2 linked regions of the Mus musculus genome follow. The protein of the gene in region 1 purifies or fractionates together with the protein of each later gene. This does not show direct contact. Links are inferred from orthologs where the notes say so. Each region holds a gene or a part of one and is shown on either strand. Other genes may lie near its edges.

The links.
Region 2: the proteins of Ubqln4 (region 1) and Gja1 purify together in Homo sapiens (affinity purification with western blotting; 3 studies listed by BioGRID). This does not show direct contact. The link is inferred for Mus musculus from reciprocal best matches to the Homo sapiens genes UBQLN4 and GJA1.

What each region holds. Positions count from the first base shown.
Region 1 is NC_000069.6:88,552,502-88,556,412, reverse strand, and holds the start of Ubqln4 (ubiquilin-4), read right to left. Parts: upstream 2,698-3,911; 5' UTR 2,609-2,697; coding exon 2,501-2,608; intron 2,475-2,500; exon of another isoform or gene 1,994-2,474; intron 1,076-1,993; coding exon 924-1,075; intron 624-923; coding exon 421-623; intron 1-420. Other genes in the region: ragulator complex protein LAMTOR2, read left to right, coding at 3,550-3,617, 3,896-3,911. UniProt on the Homo sapiens protein: Regulator of protein degradation that mediates the proteasomal targeting of misfolded, mislocalized or accumulated proteins.
Region 2 is NC_000076.6:56,387,050-56,390,960, forward strand, and holds the end of Gja1 (gap junction alpha-1 protein), read left to right. Parts: intron 1-484; 5' UTR 485-497; coding exon 498-1,646; 3' UTR 1,647-3,370; downstream 3,371-3,911. UniProt on the Homo sapiens protein: Gap junction protein that acts as a regulator of bladder capacity. A gap junction consists of a cluster of closely packed pairs of transmembrane channels, the connexons, through which materials of low MW diffuse from one cell to a neighboring cell.

The sequences.
Region 1 (3,911 bases):
TGTTCCTGAACTTGAGTCCATCTCTGAAATCATGGAAACCATCATAAGGGCTGGTGAGATGGCTCAGTGGGTACGAGCACCCGACTGCTCTTCCAAAGGTCCAGAGTTCAAATCCCAGCAACCACATGGTGGCTCACAACCATCTGTAAGGAGATCTGACTCCCTCTTCTGGAGTGTCTGAAGACAGCTACAGTGTACTTACATATAATAAATAAATAAATCTTTAAAAAAAAAAAAAAAAACCATCATAAACCGATCATTCATTCCCCACCCCAGCTTGGCTTAAGTTCCAACATCTGGAAGAGTGACTACGGTCATGGGACTAGGACTAGGGATCAGGGACCATTCTTCTTCTTTATCTTTGTGCACCCCACTCCCCTGGCCAATACAAAATTATGCTCTCCCCCGCTAAAGGCTTACAGAGGATCGATGCAGTAGCACTTGAGGGCCCCTCTGCAGCCACTGGAGAGGGCCCCCCTCCACTGCCAGCATCTGAAGTTGTATTGCCAGAGCTGCAGGGCTGGACAGGGGCGGCGGCAGGTGAGGCAGGCGTGGTGGAGGGTGCAGAGGCAGAGTCAGGAGTGGATGGAGGAGAAGCAGCAGCAGTCACTGGATCTTGAGCCCTGAGGACAAAGAGTAGGGAAACCTGGCTGGAGTGTGCACAAGTGACAAGGTGGCCTTGGACTGACAGCTCAAGCCACCTCCTAAGCAGCCTTGTTCCACCCTTACCCCAGGCTAGCAGGATGCTGGGGAGAGGGATGGTATCAGTTATCAACAGTCTCTAAGGCAACCTGGGAGTACTGACAGGCTCCCCCAGAGGTAAGACCTTATCCATCTGTGCCAGGCCTGGCTGCTGAACAGGTGAGAAAGAATGGGAGGTGAGGTCACAATCAGGAGCAAGGGCAGCTCCTGTCTGTACTTACTTCTGAGGGGTTTTGATGACTAGGTGGACTGTGAGCCCATCCTTGATGCCGTGCTGGCTCAGGGTGTCCCCATCCTTGAGGATCTTGCCTGCGAAGATCAGGACCAGCTGATCCTGCTGAGCCTTAAACCTCCGGGAGATCTCCTCCTTGAACTGTGGTCAAGAGGCAGAGATCACTGCAGAGGCCAACTGCGCCCCGCTGCAAGACTTGACCCTCAGTTCTGCCCCTCTAGCTACAAGAATCCATTCAATTAGTTCCATGACACAGTATCCCAACCCTGGAAAGCCCCTGCTGCTATCCACAACAGCAGCTTCTGTCCCACCACCCAATTCTCTGAAAGTGATACCTCACAGAGGCATGGGCAGCCCTCCCCATCCTAAATCCTTCAACTAGCCTTGGGCTCAGGCTGTCTCTCTTCAGCCTTCTCTCTGCTTTTCAGTCCCAGCTTCCTCATCACTATAACAGATAATCTAGAGTATTATTGAGATCTATTGAGGAATCTAGTGTGTTAGTTACCATCTCTACTTAATTAAATTAATTAAATTTAATTAATTAATTAATTAATTAAGAGACAGGGTCTCTGCATGTAGCTCTTGCTGTCCTGGAACTTTCTATGTAGACCTCGAACTCAGATAGATCCACCTGCTTCTACCTCCCCAGGGCTGGGAATTTAAAGATAAGGATCAGAGAAGAGGTAATGTATCCGGGGATATAGGAACTCAGGTCTGGACATCAATGTCTTCATCAGACACATTCTCAATAAGAGCTGTTTTATAATTCAGCTTTTCCCAGGGGACTTAAAATTCTCTAATGAGAGAGCAGCAGTGGTACCAACGGCTACACTGGGGCGAGTTAAATTTTCTAGATTCTATCAGCTCCTCCAAAACACAACACAACACAACACATATTCTAACTATAAACAGTGCACTTGCTAAGCAAAAGATCCCTCTCTTCCAACCAGATGGCCTATTCTAAGCCCCGCCTATGTGCAATTCTGGAGCAGCTTCAAGCAGTGGGGAACACAGGCAATACTCCCTCACTCATTCTATATTATTTTGTTGAGCACCTACTGCGCTCAGCAAATCCTGTAGAGCAGAAAACTGAACTACACAACCGTTTCGATTTGCGACAAGGAGGCTCTGTGGAGAGAGAGAGAGAGGGAGAGAGAGAGAGAGAGGGCACCACCACCACGCGACACTCCCGGGAGAGCATAGCCGCAGCTCGCTCGGGCCGCACGGTGCCTTAGCGCCTGGAACCTCTACCAGTGACCCTGGAGCACACTCTCCTCAAGCCTAGGCTCCAAATGGAGCCCGCAAGCAAGGTGTCCCTTCCTCAAGCTCCCCCACCACGCCCCCAGCCCGGGTAGCGCGGCCAAACCGGCCCCTACCCGCGCCACGCTCCCCGGACTAGCCCTGGCAGGGCGCCCCCTACCCGCTTCTCCCGCCTGTATGCCCCTGGATTCCGCCCCGGCCGGGGGCCCGTCCCCGGCGCCAGGCCGACCCCGAGGTCTCCCTCTCTGCTCTGACCCCCTCGGTGCGCTGCTCCCGCCCTCCTGTCTCCTCCCAGCCAGATACTACCTCCTTGACCGAGGCTTGATCGCAGATCACGATCTCCTCCTTGTCCTTGGGGGTCTTGACGGTGACCCGAATCTGGGGCCTCGTCTCAGCCCCACTCGGCTCCGCCATGCCGCCGCCCGGCCGCCCGCCAGCCCGTCCGGCTCCTCCTCCTCCTCCTCCCGGCCCGCCCGGCCCGGCCCGACTCCGGGGCCTCCAACTCCCCCTCCCGCCCCTCCCCAAGGCTCCGCCGCCCACTCCGGACAGCCGCAGCCACAGCGCCCCGGGCGGCCTGGGGGAGCACTGCAGCTGGGGCGGCCCAGGCCCGAGCAGGGTGCGCAGCTGGCCCGGGCCGGACAGCGCGGAGGGCGGGAGATTCAGGGCCGCCTGCGGCTCCCTCCTGTTCGGACAAAGGACTTTCGTTGTCGCCGTCTTATCTCCGTTCCCTGGGGTCACTTGGTTTTCTTGAGAGGCCTGGGTTCGTTCCTGGTTCAGGACGTCCTTAAGACCTCTGCGGATTCGAGCAGTCGTGGCCTCCGGGGAACCGCCCCGAGGGAGCCATTAAGGACGGTTTCAGAGACCTGGAGTTTGCCTACGTGGCTTCTCTGAGCCTTGGGAGTAAAAGAGCAAGACCCCACAGAATTGTGACTAGCGTACAATATTGCTTTAAAAAATGGTCAAGGATGTGCCTAACAGATAGATTTATTATTAGATTGCGATTGACCAGTAGGCACGAAGGCGTCCTTCGCGTGGAAGATGTTAAAAGTATTTCCACCGTTGCCACTGTCCTTGCGCTCCCGCTCTCCCCCCCCCCAACTCCACAACCACATGGTCCCACTGGAACGCTGAACTATGGTTCCCAGAATTCCTTGAGCGATCACATGAAACTACGATTCCCAGAGGCCCTCGCGCGGGGCGGGAATTGGGCCAGAGCCTCAGTAGATGGGCCCGGTGACTACAACTCCCAGGCGCCTCGTAGCTGGGCTCCTGGGCCACCGGAAGCGACTGAGGGAGAGCAAGAGGCTGCGACTGTAGGGGTGTGTTGGTGCAGGTCAGGGTTAAGAGACGCAGGCATGCTGCGTCCCAAGGCTTTGACGCAGGTGCTAAGCCAAGCCAACACTGGAGGAGTCCAGAGCACCCTGTGAGTGAACAAGAACCCAAGCAGCGAGCGCTGGAATGGGGCGGCGCGCGGCTGTCTGCAGTAGGGGTAGGGAAGAGCCCTACGCCGGGAGGTGGCTAATGTTGCAAGCTGCAGCTTCGGAAACCCTGCTTGAGGGCTTCCTCGGAAAGGGAAATGGACAGTTGATTAGCGTGTTCCTGGATTCTTGCTTCCTAAAAGCGCCAGTAGCTGGAATTGGGATAGGAACTCAGACCTTTCACTCTTCCTGAGTTTGTTGATATCCTTCCCATTCTTGCCAGGCTGCTGAATAATGAG
Region 2 (3,911 bases), on another chromosome or scaffold:
AAACTGGTCTAGCCTAGCATCTTGGGAAGCAAGGCTGGTTGCTGAAGGTCCGTCACTCAATCCTTTCTTAGGTGCCTATACTTTATTTAATAATACATGTCAACGTTTTGCTTAGAGGCATACAGACCCTTGGACTCCCAAGAAAGAACTGGTCTTATTTATCAGACAACTAAAATAAGCAAAGGCACTTGGTAGGTAGAGCCTGTCAGGTCACATGGCAAGGTGGTGTCCAGAGCCTTAATACTAAATACATCTTCGGCAAGTTGGGCTCGCTCTTCTCCCTGTATCTGGGTGCTATTACTTCCGAGTCAACTTCATCTTTGGGAAATGCTGCCAGATTTGCCCTTGGATTCTGTTTTGGCTTGGGTTGAAACTGCCTTATTTTGACTGACCCCTGAAAAAAGAAACTATATATGTGAAACCATCAATTTACAGTCTACAATCACTGAGTTGTTTTCGTGGTTTTTGTTTTTGTTTTTCTTAGGAGGTGCCCAGACATGGGTGACTGGAGCGCCTTGGGGAAGCTGCTGGACAAGGTCCAAGCCTACTCCACGGCCGGAGGGAAGGTGTGGCTGTCGGTGCTCTTCATTTTCAGAATCCTGCTCCTGGGGACAGCGGTTGAGTCAGCTTGGGGTGATGAACAGTCTGCCTTTCGCTGTAACACTCAACAACCCGGTTGTGAAAATGTCTGCTATGACAAGTCCTTCCCCATCTCTCACGTGCGCTTCTGGGTCCTTCAGATCATATTCGTGTCTGTGCCCACACTCCTGTACTTGGCTCACGTGTTCTATGTGATGAGAAAGGAAGAGAAGCTGAACAAGAAAGAAGAGGAGCTCAAAGTGGCGCAGACCGACGGGGTCAACGTGGAGATGCACCTGAAGCAGATTGAAATCAAGAAGTTCAAGTATGGGATTGAAGAACACGGCAAGGTGAAGATGAGAGGTGGCCTGCTGAGAACCTACATCATCAGCATCCTCTTCAAGTCTGTCTTCGAGGTGGCCTTCCTGCTGATCCAGTGGTACATCTATGGGTTCAGCCTGAGTGCGGTCTACACCTGCAAGAGAGATCCCTGCCCCCACCAGGTGGACTGCTTCCTCTCACGTCCCACGGAGAAAACCATCTTCATCATCTTCATGCTGGTGGTGTCCTTGGTGTCTCTCGCTCTGAATATCATTGAGCTCTTCTATGTCTTCTTCAAGGGCGTTAAGGATCGCGTGAAGGGAAGAAGCGATCCTTACCACGCCACCACCGGCCCACTGAGCCCATCCAAAGACTGCGGATCTCCAAAATATGCTTACTTCAATGGCTGCTCCTCACCAACGGCCCCACTCTCACCTATGTCTCCTCCTGGGTACAAGCTGGTCACTGGTGACAGAAACAATTCCTCCTGCCGCAATTACAACAAGCAAGCCAGCGAGCAAAACTGGGCGAATTACAGCGCAGAGCAAAATCGAATGGGGCAGGCCGGAAGCACCATCTCCAACTCCCACGCCCAGCCGTTTGATTTCCCTGACGACAGCCAAAATGCCAAAAAAGTTGCTGCTGGACACGAACTCCAGCCCTTAGCTATCGTGGATCAGCGACCTTCCAGCAGAGCCAGCAGCCGCGCCAGCAGCAGACCTCGGCCTGATGACCTGGAGATTTAAACAGGCTTGAACATCAAGCTGCCAATCGATTGTGGAGGAGAAAAAAAAGGGTGCTTGCAGAACGTGCACCTGGGGTGTTCATTTCGTTCCCGTGGAGGTGGTACTCAACAACCTCAGTAATGAGGCGTAGAAAACAAAGACATTACAATATCTAGGTTCCTTGGGGGGTGTTTTGGGATAGCTAGGCGGCAAAAGTAGGGAAAGGGGAGGTATGTAACGGTATTTAATGTAGAAGATTCAAAGAGCTTAAATTCTAGTAAGAGTCTCATTGGATGAAACATAGATAGGGCTTTCTCTCTCTGCCCCCCAACTGAACCTTAAGAATGGTTCTGTATACATGAGTGAGTGGGTGATATATATTTTTTTTAATTTTTGTTTTACTGAGATTCTGCCATAGAGCTTTGAGCAGGAATCCAAGTCCTCAACATGGCATTTCCTTTATGAAAAGACAGGTTGTCCTACATCCCCGCTAAAAAACATTCCAGTGTTTAAAAACTTGGCAGTTTGCAGGCGAGCTTCCCTGGCCTGACCCTCTAGGTGTGGATGGACCTTATGCTACTATACACGATTTTCATTCTTGGTAGGTATCAATTCGAAGTTCAGACAAGGTTCAAAGAAAAAGATTGCCCATGTATTTGCATCTCAGTGGGTTCTTTTTCAAATCTGTCCCACCTTTGTGTCTTCCATATATTATCCTCAGCTGGTCCTCACCCTCACCAAATGATTTCTATCGACATTTTTAAAACAGTGAGAAAGTCTTTTTTTTTTTTTTTTTTGAGTTAGCATCAGGGAGGCAAGCCATGCTCAATATTTAACAATCGCTTCTGTCTATGTGTGGGTGTGCAAGTGTGTAAGCGTGTGTTTTGTCATTATTGGTACAAGCAGAGGCAGTATAAACTCACAGATTTGAATCGAATTCACACAGTGTTCAAATTTGAACCTTCCTCATGGATCTTTGTGGTGTGGGCCAACGTGGTGTTTACATTATAGAATTCCTGCCGTGCAAAAGTGTAAAGCACACACTTTTTCCCTAAAATATTTTTTCCACGTATCCTATTATGGATACTGGTTTTGTTAATTATGATTTTTTTTTCTTTTTTAGAATGTAGCAGTAATAGCCATTACTGAAATGAATGATTTCCTTTTTCTGAAATATAATCATTGATGCTTGAATGATAGAATTTTAGTACTGTAAACAGGCTTTAGTCATTAATGTGAGAGACTTAGAAGAGGGTTGCTTAGAGTGGACTATCAAGTGAGCCTAAAGGAACTTTGTAGTAACTGGTAATCTGGTAATTTTTGTCCTACTTAACTACACATTAACTCAGAACTTGTATTCTGAGTTTAACAGTCTTTTAGATTGACGAGCAACTTGGATGTTTGCACTAAGATTTTCTTTGAGATACTAGAGGGGGTGAAGGAGTTTTCAGCAGTGCACATGTAACTAATTTATTTGAACTGTAAGCTAAAGACACCTACCAGTTTCTTCAAGTGACTTAAAAAAACTCATCACAGATGATTGAAATGTCGAGTTATCATGTTTCCTCTTGCGCGCCAGCTACACAAGGAGTTTTTGGACAATGAGAAACTAATTTGTTTGACATTCCATGTTAAACTACTGTCATGTTCAGCTTCATTGCATGTAATGTAGACCTAGCCCATCCAATCAATGTGCTCGGGAAAGTGTTCTTTATTCAATAAAATTTTAATTTAGTATAATAAAGATAACCTGCATGTCTTGTGTGATTTAAAAAACAAAAAAAACAAGAAAACTTACCAAATTTATTCAAGATTACCAAAAGTAGATCCCATAATTACAATGTCTTGGGCTAATGAAATCCACTTTTATTTTATTTTCATCTTTTGCTTGCCGGTATCTCTGTGCAATGGTATGTTGCTGCTTGCAGTGGCCAGGAAAAAAAAAAAATTAGTGTCAAATCCCCTAGAGATAGTTGTGAACTGCCATGTGGGTGCTGGGAATCAAATCTGGCTCTTTGAAGAACAGTGTTTTGTTAGTTTGATTTTTAAGGACAAACACCATAAGCATCATTGATTTTGAAATATTGAGGTAATATTTTAACAGGAAATAAAGCATACAAATGTTTAATTGGGAGAACAGTTAAACTCCACACCAGGTCTCACACACTCATAGAATCGAACCTAGAATTTTTTGCCAGCCTCTACATTCTCTTGCCATGGCTTCCTCGATACATGGAGTTGTAGGCCCGAGGTAGTGATTACAGTATTGGGGAAGGTATCTGGGTT